Linked DNA regions of Cricetulus griseus. The protein of the gene in region 2 binds, or shares a complex with, the protein of the main gene of each other region. Links are inferred from orthologs where the notes say so. Each region holds a gene or a part of one and is shown on either strand. Other genes may lie near its edges.

Region 1 (3,648 bases), on a different chromosome or scaffold from region 2:
AATACACATAAAATAAAAAGAAACCTAAAGGAAAATTGATTCAAAGCATTTGTGTGTTTACTCTCTTCTTTCTTCCCCTTAGAATAATGTAGCTGACCCAGAAGAACTGTTCACAAAATTAGAGCGCATTGGAAAAGGCTCCTTTGGAGAAGTTTTCAAAGGAATCGATAATCGTACCCAGCAAGTGGTTGCAATTAAAATCATTGACCTTGAGGAAGCTGAAGATGAAATAGAAGACATTCAACAAGAAATAACTGTTCTGAGTCAGTGCGACAGCTCATATGTAACCAAATACTATGGCTCCTATTTGAAGGTAAGGTGTTTATTATATATTATTTCATAAGGTGTTCATGCTGTATTATTTCATAAGATGTTTTCGTTATATTTTGTTTTCTTTTAACTCTATTTTTGAAATGTGGCATCTCTTTTTTTCCCTCTTTTTTTTTTTGAGTCAGAGTCTCACTATGTAGCCCTGGCTGTCCTGGAACTCACAATGTAGAACAGTCTGGCCTTGATCTCATAGAGATATGCCTGCTAGTATTAAGGTTTTCACCACCACACCATACTCAAAAGACAGAGACTTAAATTAAGATTTGGCAATCTTTACCCTCCAGGCAGAATCCAGCTCCATTGATGGTGTCAACTCAACCATTGTTAGAGTTAACAGCCACTTCTTGAAAATACTCCAGAGCTCAGACACACTCTTCCATCCCTGGACTTTTGGTACAGGGAAAAGAAAGGTTTGTGGTCTTTAAGGCCATATTGCCACATAAAAGCTGTACCCCTGGATTTCCACACACCATTCTTAATATTCTAATCTGTCTCAACTGCAGAACTGATGGAGTACATAGCATTGAGTTATGGTGGTTATTTATGCATTTTTCTCTCACAAGGATGTGAGCTCATTGATGACACACAGTTAATCTTGACTAGTCCTAGTTTTTATATCCCTTAGTCCAGCATATGACTCATTCTAAGCACATGATATAGTTTACCTGCACTTTCCCCAGGTTCTTGCTTTCTTCCTCCACAACACTAAAATCTATATGACCAAATCCTTCATTCACAGAAGATGGTGCAATATTTGCAGAGACACTTCCCAGCCCACGCAGAATGACATGTTCTACCCCAAAGTGATATATGTCAACTGTGCCCATTTATCCAGCGACTCACAGATGAATTCTTTAATAAATAAATCCTTTCCCTACTGCCAAAATAATAAAGAAATATAAAATAAATAAGAGATAAATAAGAAAGAAACTACTTCCAGCCCAGTGTGAGCCAGATTGCTCTGTCGGCAGCCTTAAATCTGAGTTGTGGGTGGGTACATTGCCACGGTAGAATGGATTCACTGCATAGCTTTACTAACAGTGCTTTACCTTAGAGGCAGGAGCGCATGTCTGGAGATCAGGCATGTGCAGAAAGATTTCTAGCTCTGTATAGATGGAAGCCCTGTTTTGGTGTGGTGGCACCTGAGTTGTCTGAGGTATGCTGAGTAAAATGTAGCCATCAAGACATTTAGCCTTGAGAGTGCTTGCTTTCCCTCATGGCCACCAGACTATTTAGTGTGGGCAGCACAGGCACAAAAAGAGAGACTGTAGTTCCACCTGAGTGTGAGCTAGCAGTATGAGGTGGTGTCCCCAGTTAGTGACATGTGGGTGGATTCAGTACAGCTCCAGAGCCAAGGTCTGGACTATGGACCCTCATGGGGCTGCCATTAATCCAAGGATGAGGAACTGGCATGGTTTGGGATAAGGCAGGCTCCTTTTCCCAGTGCCTCAGCAGTTATTTGCTTCATGAGCAAGGTTGTGTTGCTGTGCCTGCCCTCCCTGGAGCACCCTAGGAAGACTGGCTGTTGATCACTTCAGCGGTAATGGTGTCAGGATCTTCTGAAGCAGTCCACTTGGGACCACAGTGGTTCGTCTTGCAGGGCAATACTGATAACTTCTACCTTTCTTCTCCCTTTCTAGCCATCTCTTGGCTACACAGATATGCCAGTGTCACAGGTGACCGTTTCTGTGGAGAGAGCCTGCTCTTTTGTGTCTCCTGTGTTGCTACAGTTAGGGCTAGTGAGGTATTTTGGTTTGTGGGTGTATGTTCTTTCTCCTTCTCTTCCTTCCACCCCACTGTGTGTGTGTGTGTGTGTGTGTGTGTATGTGATGAAGACTGCTCTCTTCTCTACCTCCATCTTGGCAACCTAGATGCCATTGCTTTCTTGATCTTTGTGTATACATATCACTTTATGTTGATACTAAAATTCATCAATTTTACTGACTTTGCAAAACTTATTTTATTGTAATATTGTATACATTAGATTGAACAGGAGTGAATTCACTATAGAGCCAGTCAATTGCTAGACACTGTGTCGTACAAGGTACCAGGTGCTGGAGAGATAAAAATGAATAGCACGCCCCTGTCATCAGAGAGCATTCAGTGCAGTATTACAAAAAGTACAGACTTTGTGACAAAAGTATGTATGCTAGGTTACAGGTGAAATGGACAGGAGTGTAGCTCATTGGCAGAGAGTCTGCCTACCATGCTTGTCTTATTGGGTTCCATTCCTATTGGGACTGCAAAAATTAAAATCAAACACAAGCTGCATATTAATAAGTGCAGTAAGCAAGTGGTTACTTGTGTCTTTTTAATCAAGAATAGCATGAAGAAATGGCCTCAGGAAAGAGGTGATGAGGCTGGAAAATTCTAATTTCAGCATTTATTCCTAAGAGTTAGCTGTCATCATATTTTACTACACATGCAAAATTCTGGTTCTTTGCAACATAATGTTTGCTTTTGTATTCATTCCTAAAATTTCTATCTTGGCAGGTCATATTGTTTTATAGAATGCTTTGGAGTGATAGCTCCATCTCAGGACCTTTAGGATCGCCCCCTGATTCCCACAATGGGCTTTGTTGCAGGCAGCCCTGGGAATTTTCTGTCATATGTGTGATTGCCCTTTCTGGATTAAATACTGGTAATTCAAGACTCTCTAGAGCAAACAGGAACCCTTGTTATTTTTAGGCATCTAGATCAGATAAGCTATTTTCAGTGGCTGGCTGAAAATATTAAATAAACCCTATTTAAAATCTTTTTATAATATTTCATTTTAAATCAAAGTACTATGGTGGTGAAGATTTTGATAGTTACTAAGAACCTTTGTTTATTCATAGTTTGCTCACAGACAACTGTGCTCCAGCTATGTGGGTTTTTATTTGTTAGATATCATATTTTAAAAATACTACCTTCAAACCTAGCCTAGTAGTATTTACTTACTAGTCATCTAGTAATTACTTCAGCTATTAATAAGTACAAACTAATGCTTTATTTTGTCCCAGATATTGACTATTGAATGTATTAGGCTATTCCATGACTGAAAACTAATATCCAATATGTTTGTGAAAGGATAAAACTGAAATATTTTCATCTTTACCTATCAGTAATGGAAGTCTTTTGTGACAAAACTGTATAAATGTAGTTATAGATAAATGGTTACACATACAAAACTTATAAATGTTCTCTGATTTTAAGTCACTTCCTTTTTGAGGTGCGTGCGTGCGTGCGTGCGTGCGTGCGTGCATACGTGCGTGTGTGTGTGTGTGTGTGTGTGTGTGTGTGTGTGTGTGTGTGTGTGTGTGCAAAGATGAAACCCAG
Region 2 (4,075 bases):
GTTTTTTTTTTTTTTTTTTTTTTTTTGGTTTTTCGAGACAGGGTTTCCTGTGGCTTTGGAGCCTATCCAGGAACTCGCTCTGTAGACCAGGCTGGCCTTGAATTCACAAAGATCCACCTGCCTCTGCCTCCTGAGTGCTGGGACTAAAGGTGTGCACCACCACTGCCCCCATTTATTCTATGATTTTGTTTGTTTGTTTGTGTTTGTTTGTTTGTTTGAGACGGGGTTTCTCTGTGGCTTTGGGGCCTGTCCTGGAACTATTTCTTGTAGACCAGGCTGGCCTCGAACTCACAGAGATCTGCCTGCCTCTGCCTCCTGAGTGCTGGGGTTAAAGGCGTGCACCACCACCACCACCACCACCACCTGACTGTTCTATGATTTTTTTTTAACTTTCTTTGAACATTTCATTTCATTGTAGCACAAATGGAAAGATGCTATTTAAAAAAAAAAAAAAAAAAAAAAAGTAGTGATCTTAATATAAGCAACAACAGGGAACTTACCTGAAGTTAATTTGGATGTGTGTGACAAAATTAAAGACTGATCAAATTTAGAGATGAACTGTAAAATTTAAGCATCAGAGAACAGAATGGACAAAGGTAAGATGGTTTGGAAATCCTCAAACTCCTGCACATAGCAAGGTAACAGTTTAATTGCTTGTTTTTAATAAGATTAGTGCTATTTGTTTTACATTCTTTTAACCAGGAAATATGCTAAAATCTAAGCAGATTCAAGCAAAAATCATCTCCAGCAAACTTGCATTAGTTAGACTTGCCTTCAATAGTGCCTTGAACCTGAACTCCGTAAGCTCAATGACAGAATGCATTAGACTCTTCTGTGTACTTTTCTCTGTCATTTGGTTGGGGACTAGATCAGCCAGGCATTATGAGAAAACTTACAAATAGCAAATGGACTTGATACTAAAGCAACTTAAAAGTAGGCATGAAAAAGTCAAAGAACACAAACTGTAGAAACTTCCATACAGGCGCTCCCTCACTTTATTGCCCAGACCTACCTCCCAGAAGCTATGCTATCTAAAATAGCTGCCCCTACCACACTCTACTGCTGTATCCTTAATTTTTCCTCACAGAGGTAACTATAGGCCATATCATACAGCTATATTTGCAGACTGTTCACCTTCTGACAAAACATAAGCTCCATGAGGGCAGCAGTCTTTTCTGTTTTGTTAATCCAGAGTCAATATACACAGGTGGGCATTCGATGAGCCATGAGCATGTGCTGAGTTAAGAAAATGATGAAACCAAAGCCCAGAGAGGTCACAGTATTTCCTCAAGGTCACAAAGCTGGCACAGCCTTTAATAGAGACCTATTTACCATAACCTTGCCTGTTTGCTCCTTCCATAGCCAGCTGCACCTCACCAAAGCAGTGTGTGTCTGCAAAGGAGTCTCTTCTGCAGATTTCTTTCTGGGCTTTTTGTGCCAAAAGAAAAAAAGGGGTGGGGGGCAAAAAAGTAACACTTCAAGCAATCCACAAACTAAACTAAAACTGTACTCGAATTTCATAAGCATAAAGGATTAGCCCATAAAACAAGAGAGGCACAACCACTCACAGCTCTTTGAGTTCCTTTGGAAATTAGTGTGTGTTTTAGAAGTTTTATAAACCTATTTATCAGTTCAGAATGGCCAGTGAGGCACCAACCTTTCTTTCATTCTTCTCCAGACCCCAACTGCTCCCCTCTGCCAAATATGCTTTATCTTGCTGGTTATGCAAGGAGACAACGCAACGCTGAAGCCCCTTTAGTTCCTTCTAAAGTGCATGTCAATCTTGCAGAACACTAGGCATAAAATAAACTCTTAGGAAGTTTTAGACCATGGGGAGAGGAGGAATCTCGGAACAACCAGCCTCCCGTCAGTTCATCCCTTCACTGAAAACCTACGAATCTAAACGAAATCCGGAGAAGGGGCAGAGAAGGGTGAAGAAACATTTTCAGACACAAAATTGGGGCTCATCCTGTTAGTAACACTCCAACTCTACGCCAGTTCGAAGAAAGCCAGGGCCTCCCTGATACAACTTGTGCTGTCTTCTCTGCGCACCTTCCTTGCAGGGAGAGTAGCCAACTGCTAAAACATTTTGCGGGGAATGTCTCTAGACCTAGGGTGTGAATCACGTTAAGCCAGGATGATTTGCTCAGTCTCTCAAAACTACTGTCAACCCAATCAGTAAACCGAAAGGGACAACCCATGATGTGGCATAGCAAACAGTTGAAATGAACACGGGAGTTGAGAGTGGGAAACAGCCGACGAAAAGGCTCCGGCAGAGAGGGAGTGGGAAACAGGGTTCTAGGAAATGGGGTCAGGCAAAAGCCAAAGGTGACTGGAGGAAAGAAAGGAGATGAAATTCTGGAAGGGATGGGCGAAGGCAAGGGGGAGGGGACGCGAGCAGGCTGGGGGAAGGGGCGAAGGGTCCGGGGCGGGGCGGAAGAGAGAGAAGAGGCGGGATGAAGATGGCCAGGCCGGGAGGGTCTTTACCTGCAGCTCCGCCCGTTCCACCTCCCACTGGGCTCTCTCCACCTCGAAGCGGGCCCATTCGTGCTGCAGGAAGTGCAAGATCCCGGGGAGGCTGTACTGAGCTCGGGCCGCCCCCGCCGCAGCCGCCCCGTCCCCGGCCGCTGCAGCCTCCGCCAGAGGCCCGAGTCCCTTAGCACCGCCAGCACCCGGGTGGTTGTTGCTGAAGAAGACGCCGGGACCCGCCTGTTCGTCCATGGCGGCCGCACGAACGCCGGGGAGCTCTGCCTAGGCGCCCAGCAGCGGCGGCAAACTGCGGCGGCCAGCTCTGCCTCCTCCCTCCGCCGCTCCCCGCCCACACCCCAGTCAGCAGGGAGCAGCCGCCTGGGCGCGGGGGCCGGGCGAGCCCGTGACGGGCCGGGAAGTGGGTCAACTGCGGCCCGCAGGGCTTGCCGGGAAATGTAGTCCCGGGGCGTGGCGGCGCCCGCTGCCTGTGGGGCGGCGCCTCTCCGAGGGGACCCTGAAGGCACGCCCCTTCCTTGCCACGCCCTCCCCTCCGGTTTGAGCGAGTTTCCTCTCCCGCCGAGCGGCGGGGCAGTGCCCTTAGGGCTCCCTTCACGCGGAAGTTCGCGGGCTTCGCTCCCTGTTACATACTCACACGCGGAAGTTATCACGCCGAGTACCAGCCCAACTGCACTCAGTTTAGGGCTTCCTGGTCGTTTTGTTAAGAAATGGGCTCAAAGCAATCCATCCGCTCGGTGCCCATCTGGGGCTTCATCAGAGCCCCGACACCCCGGCACCACGGGTCACGGTGGCGCCTGCCCTCCTTTCCCCGAGGGGGGCTCAATCAGGGGCTCGATCTTGTTGACAGACCGGTTGATCCTCTGTCTCTCGGCTGGAATTCGACATTTTGGAGGGCTTCTTCCAAATTCTAAGTTTAACACTTAATCTGAAACACTGGTCCCTTTCGGTAAATCCTGTGAAAGTAACAAGCACTGCTTGTTCAATCTCATTTTCCCCGTCTTTGCCGCACAGTTTAAACTCAGTTCACTGGAACAAGTATTTTATTGTCAGTTATATTCCGTGCCGGGAATATAAAGATAGATGTCACAGTTCTTGTCATCAAAAGGAGACAGACACATATGTAGAGTCACAGAGCCCTAAAGGCTACAATAGGAGGAAACCAAGTTCCTTTTTGCTCCACTGCTCTCCTGAATACCCAGGAGCCTCTCCCTTTTCACTTGTCACTTTCCCAGATTCTTGGTCAATTGACCTTTAACACCAAAAGCACACCAAAATCCTTTCCTTCCAAGTAGCTTGCCAATGCTTTCCCTCTCTGAGCTCCCTGCTTATCACTAAAAATTCACACTACACCAACGGGAAGGTGCCCGAAGAACGTTTAAGAAATGAAAACGAAATTAAGTAATTATTTGTCACTCTAACAAGAAATCTTTAATCTTGTTTTCTTCCTGTGGGCATGGAAAGAATAAGAAAAAATTAAAGATAGAAGCTGGTAAGTGACTTGCAAGGGAAGGACATCCTGTCCCTGTCCTCTCTCTGCTCCCTGGTCTTCCCATGGAGACTAGTAAAAAGAACAGGAAATACATTGTAT
Region 3 (3,648 bases), on a different chromosome or scaffold from region 2:
TGCTGAATGCCCTTCACTACAGTCACCATTTAAGGAACCCACTGTGCACTGACTGAAGTGATTGGTACATGGGCTTAGGCAGCAGGGCTCCCCAGTGCTGAGTCTGAGTCTCATGTCAGAGTCCACGGGACCCAGGCTGAGAACACACCGGGAAAGACACATCAGATAGACTGGGAACACACAGCAGTCTTAGGGCTGCTCTACAGTGAGCAGGGCTGTCAGCAACTCAAAACAAACAACACAACAGGCTGGCAAACAGCTGACATGGGGACCTGCAGTGGAGGGAGACACCTCTGCTCACGTCACTGCCCTGTGAACTCATCACCAGGCCCTGAAGGGACAGCCTTCTCTCTTACACGTGGCAAGAGAAGGCCTGTTCAGGTGACTACAGGACTCGGACATTGCTGACCTTTAACCACTTGGAGTGGACTCACTTGCCATTGTAACTTTGAAAGTTCCAGAAACCCTTACGGCAGGGTACCAGTCAGAACCATGAAGGTGACAAGAAGCAAGAAAGCCACACATAGGAAAGCAACCTACAGGAGCATTAAGGAAGGCCTGACTCTCACCTGTCCTCTTTGGATCGTCCTAACCGAGAACAACCTGGTGCCATCCTGGCACTAAGGAGGTTGAGCCAGAGGAACTGAAAGTTCATGACCAAAATGGGTTATATAATGAAACCTTGTCCAAAAAAAAAAAACCAAAAACACCCAAAACTATGAAATATCTAAACCCAGCCAGGTGACAGATGTGTGGCCATGTGACAAGGCTTTAACTGCCAGCCGTCCCATGTCCTTCTAGCACTAGCCTGGCTAAGCTGCCCTTGCACCTGGAGCCTGTGCAGTCCCCCTGTGCATCTGAAGCCCACTGACAAACCTGGACACTGAGCCCATGAGCACCAAGCCATTTGGCACATAATCAAAGACCACAATAAGAATCCATGTGTAAACCCAACCTACCCTAACAAATGTGAGTAGGAAGACAGAAGGCGTCTCCCAAACATTCCACAAGCAGCATTACTTACTCTACCTCAGAACAAATAATTACATTACCATAGCCCATTAACTTAATGAACTGATTCTACCAAATCCCAGCAAACGTAACCTTGCCTATCACTACATTTACGACGTGTGGCACCTGGGGATTCGAATGAAAATCAGGTAAGGAGAGGACAGTCATAGCCCAAAACAACCAAGGTTGAACTGTACCACAAAGTCATTTTAGAGATGCTCTGGAATGACAGCAAGATCAGGAGAGCTCTCTGGCAAACAAAAAAGGGGTGGCTATGTGTAAAACAGAAATGGGTGGCCTGGGTTCCAAGTCCTAAGGGCCATGGTTGAAAAGCCAATTGAGTGCAACTGAAAGAGAATGACCTGCAATGAAAGGAACTTGGATTCTAGTCCCTCTTCTACCAAAATTCAGACATGAGCACTGACAGTGAGCTGTGGACAATACACCCACCTTTCTGTATGACAGAACTCAGGGAAAAGGCCTGGGCAACAAATGCAGAGAGCAGAACTGACTAGCCTGAAGCACACTTGCTGCTTTCTGGATGCCGGGGAAAGAGCTCCTACCCGAGCTACCACATCACCAGTCTCTGAGTTCTCTCAAGCCAGAACGTGGGACAGCTGCACCTTCACCCACCATGACATGCCATGACACCTTACAAGAGCCACCCAAGGTCCCAAAGGCAAGTTAGCCTATGTTCCACACACCATTTAATGAGCCAGGAAAGCTGCTACACATGGAGGAGGGTCCTATCTTAAAAAGAAGAGAGAGAGAAGAAAGAGTGACAAAGGCTTGAGCCTGGCATGCTAACACATCATTGCAATCTCAACACCAGAAGGCTGAAGCAGGCAGCTCACCAGTTTGTCAGACTCCAGCAACAGAGCAAAACCGTCTTCATAGGGGATGGGGACTGGCGGCTGGAAAGACAGCTACACATTTCAGAGCTCACACTGTTCTCGTAAGAATCCTGGTCTGGTTCCCAGCACCTGTGTCAGACAGCTTAGAGCAGCCTGACTCCATCTCGGGGATGACCTAATGCTTCCAGCCTTCCCAAGGATCAGCATTCATACGTGCATATTCACATAGACGAACGCACGCACACACGCACGTAAATAAATAAACAAACAAAAAACAATGTTCGACCTATGAGCATCCCTGAGTTAAATTTTTGCTGCTGTTGTGAAGTTTGGGACTCAGGAAAGCTACTTCTCTGCCATGATCATTGTTACTATGCACAGGCCGCTGACCCGAGCAAATGGAGTGGCCTATTACAAGGCTTCAAAAAACTAAAGGACCAAAAAAACAATGAACACGAGGTACAGAAGCTGAAAAACAAGCAACTGTGGGAGGACTGCAGTCTCCTGCTGTCTCACAGCCTCTGGGAGTAAGGACCTGAGACCAAAATGAGAACACATGGTGCAGTCACTATAGAATGATGCTTGCCCCATTCTGCCATGGGCTTCTCTGTGGATTCTCTGATGCAGTGGGCAGCCTCTGCCCTGAAGGATGCTCCAACCACAACTTCAGAGAGCACGAGCCAGCCCCTCCTCTTCCTTATAAGGGGTCACGTCCATCGTCACACACTGAAGCCACACCCTAAGGTGTGGCCACCACCCCAAGTCCATGGTCGGAACAAGATACCACTACACTCTGATTCTTTCTCTAGAAGCCCTATCTATACAGAGCAGGCTGAGCTCTGTCCAGGCCCTGCCCTTCATCACTGTGCCAAGATCCCACCCACCTTGGTGCTCCTGTGCTGCGGCATTGCCTGCCACGAGCCATCTATCCAGGGTCTGCATGTCTCAGAAGGCTGAAGCTATGCCCACCCTCGTATCTGCTCCTTCCTGGCCCCACCAGATCAAACACACACCAAGGCCAGAAGAACAAGATAGCCAATAGCACAGCGGGAGATGAAGAAGGAAGCTCACAGAATTACCTCTACAACCTACCTCAGGTACGGAAGGAAAGACACGGATGCAAAAATGAAAGGGGACAGACATCTGAATGTCGTGGGTCCACAGCACAGGCTCTCTCTCACCTTTGAGTCATAGGCTGACTGCTTAATGACCTCGGGCGCCATCCAGAAGGGAGTGCCCACGAAGGTGTTCCTTTTGATCTGGGTATCGGTCAGCTGGCCAGCTACTCCAAAGTCAGCCAGCTTCACTTCCCCATGTTCAGAGAGCAGAACGTTGGCAGCTGCAAGACAACCAAGCAGGGGGACATCATTACAGTTATACCCACCCAGGCTCACCCTGGGAGTCCAGGCATGCTTTCCCCACAGGGCACAAGGGCCTGTAATAGCAAGGTGCCCAGAGGTTCACAACAGTTCAGCTTGATGCAGAGTAGGCAGGACAGAGGTACGGAAGGCTCCGCCACTTCAGGTGTTTCAAAGAAATGAAAACAAGAGTAGCTCCTACCTTTAATGTCTCTGTGGATTTTCTTCTCAGAGTGTAGATAATCAAGTCCCTTCAGAATTTCTCGTAATATGGTAGCAATCTGAATTTCATCTAAAGGGCCAGGTTCTAACTAACAAGAAAAAAAAAAAATCATTTATTAGCCACTCAGATGTCAAAACAAGGTCCATGCTAAACAGACAGGATAATTAAAACAAAAGATGTCTTCACATAAAGCAGGTGTTTT

The links. The genes of interacting proteins can lie anywhere in the genome.
Region 1: Strn (region 2) and Stk26 share a complex: the UniProt entries of both Homo sapiens proteins name them as parts of the core of STRIPAK complex. The link is inferred for Cricetulus griseus from reciprocal best matches to the Homo sapiens genes STRN and STK26.
Region 3: Strn (region 2) and Stk24 share a complex: the UniProt entries of both Homo sapiens proteins name them as parts of the core of STRIPAK complex. The link is inferred for Cricetulus griseus from reciprocal best matches to the Homo sapiens genes STRN and STK24.

What each region holds. Positions count from the first base shown.
Region 1 is NC_048604.1:19,072,376-19,076,023, reverse strand, and holds part of Stk26 (serine/threonine-protein kinase 26), read left to right. Parts: intron 1-82; coding exon 83-313; intron 314-3,648. UniProt on the Homo sapiens protein: Serine/threonine-protein kinase that acts as a mediator of cell growth. Modulates apoptosis. In association with STK24 negatively regulates Golgi reorientation in polarized cell migration upon RHO activation.
Region 2 is NC_048600.1:5,296,840-5,300,914, reverse strand, and holds the start of Strn (striatin), read right to left. Parts: upstream 2,829-4,075; 5' UTR 2,722-2,828; coding exon 2,488-2,721; intron 1-2,487. UniProt on the Homo sapiens protein: Calmodulin-binding scaffolding protein which is the center of the striatin-interacting phosphatase and kinase (STRIPAK) complexes.
Region 3 is NW_023276807.1:271,175,068-271,178,715, forward strand, and holds part of Stk24 (serine/threonine-protein kinase 24), read right to left. Parts: intron 3,535-3,648; coding exon 3,426-3,534; intron 3,205-3,425; coding exon 3,047-3,204; intron 1-3,046. UniProt on the Homo sapiens protein: Serine/threonine-protein kinase that acts on both serine and threonine residues and promotes apoptosis in response to stress stimuli and caspase activation.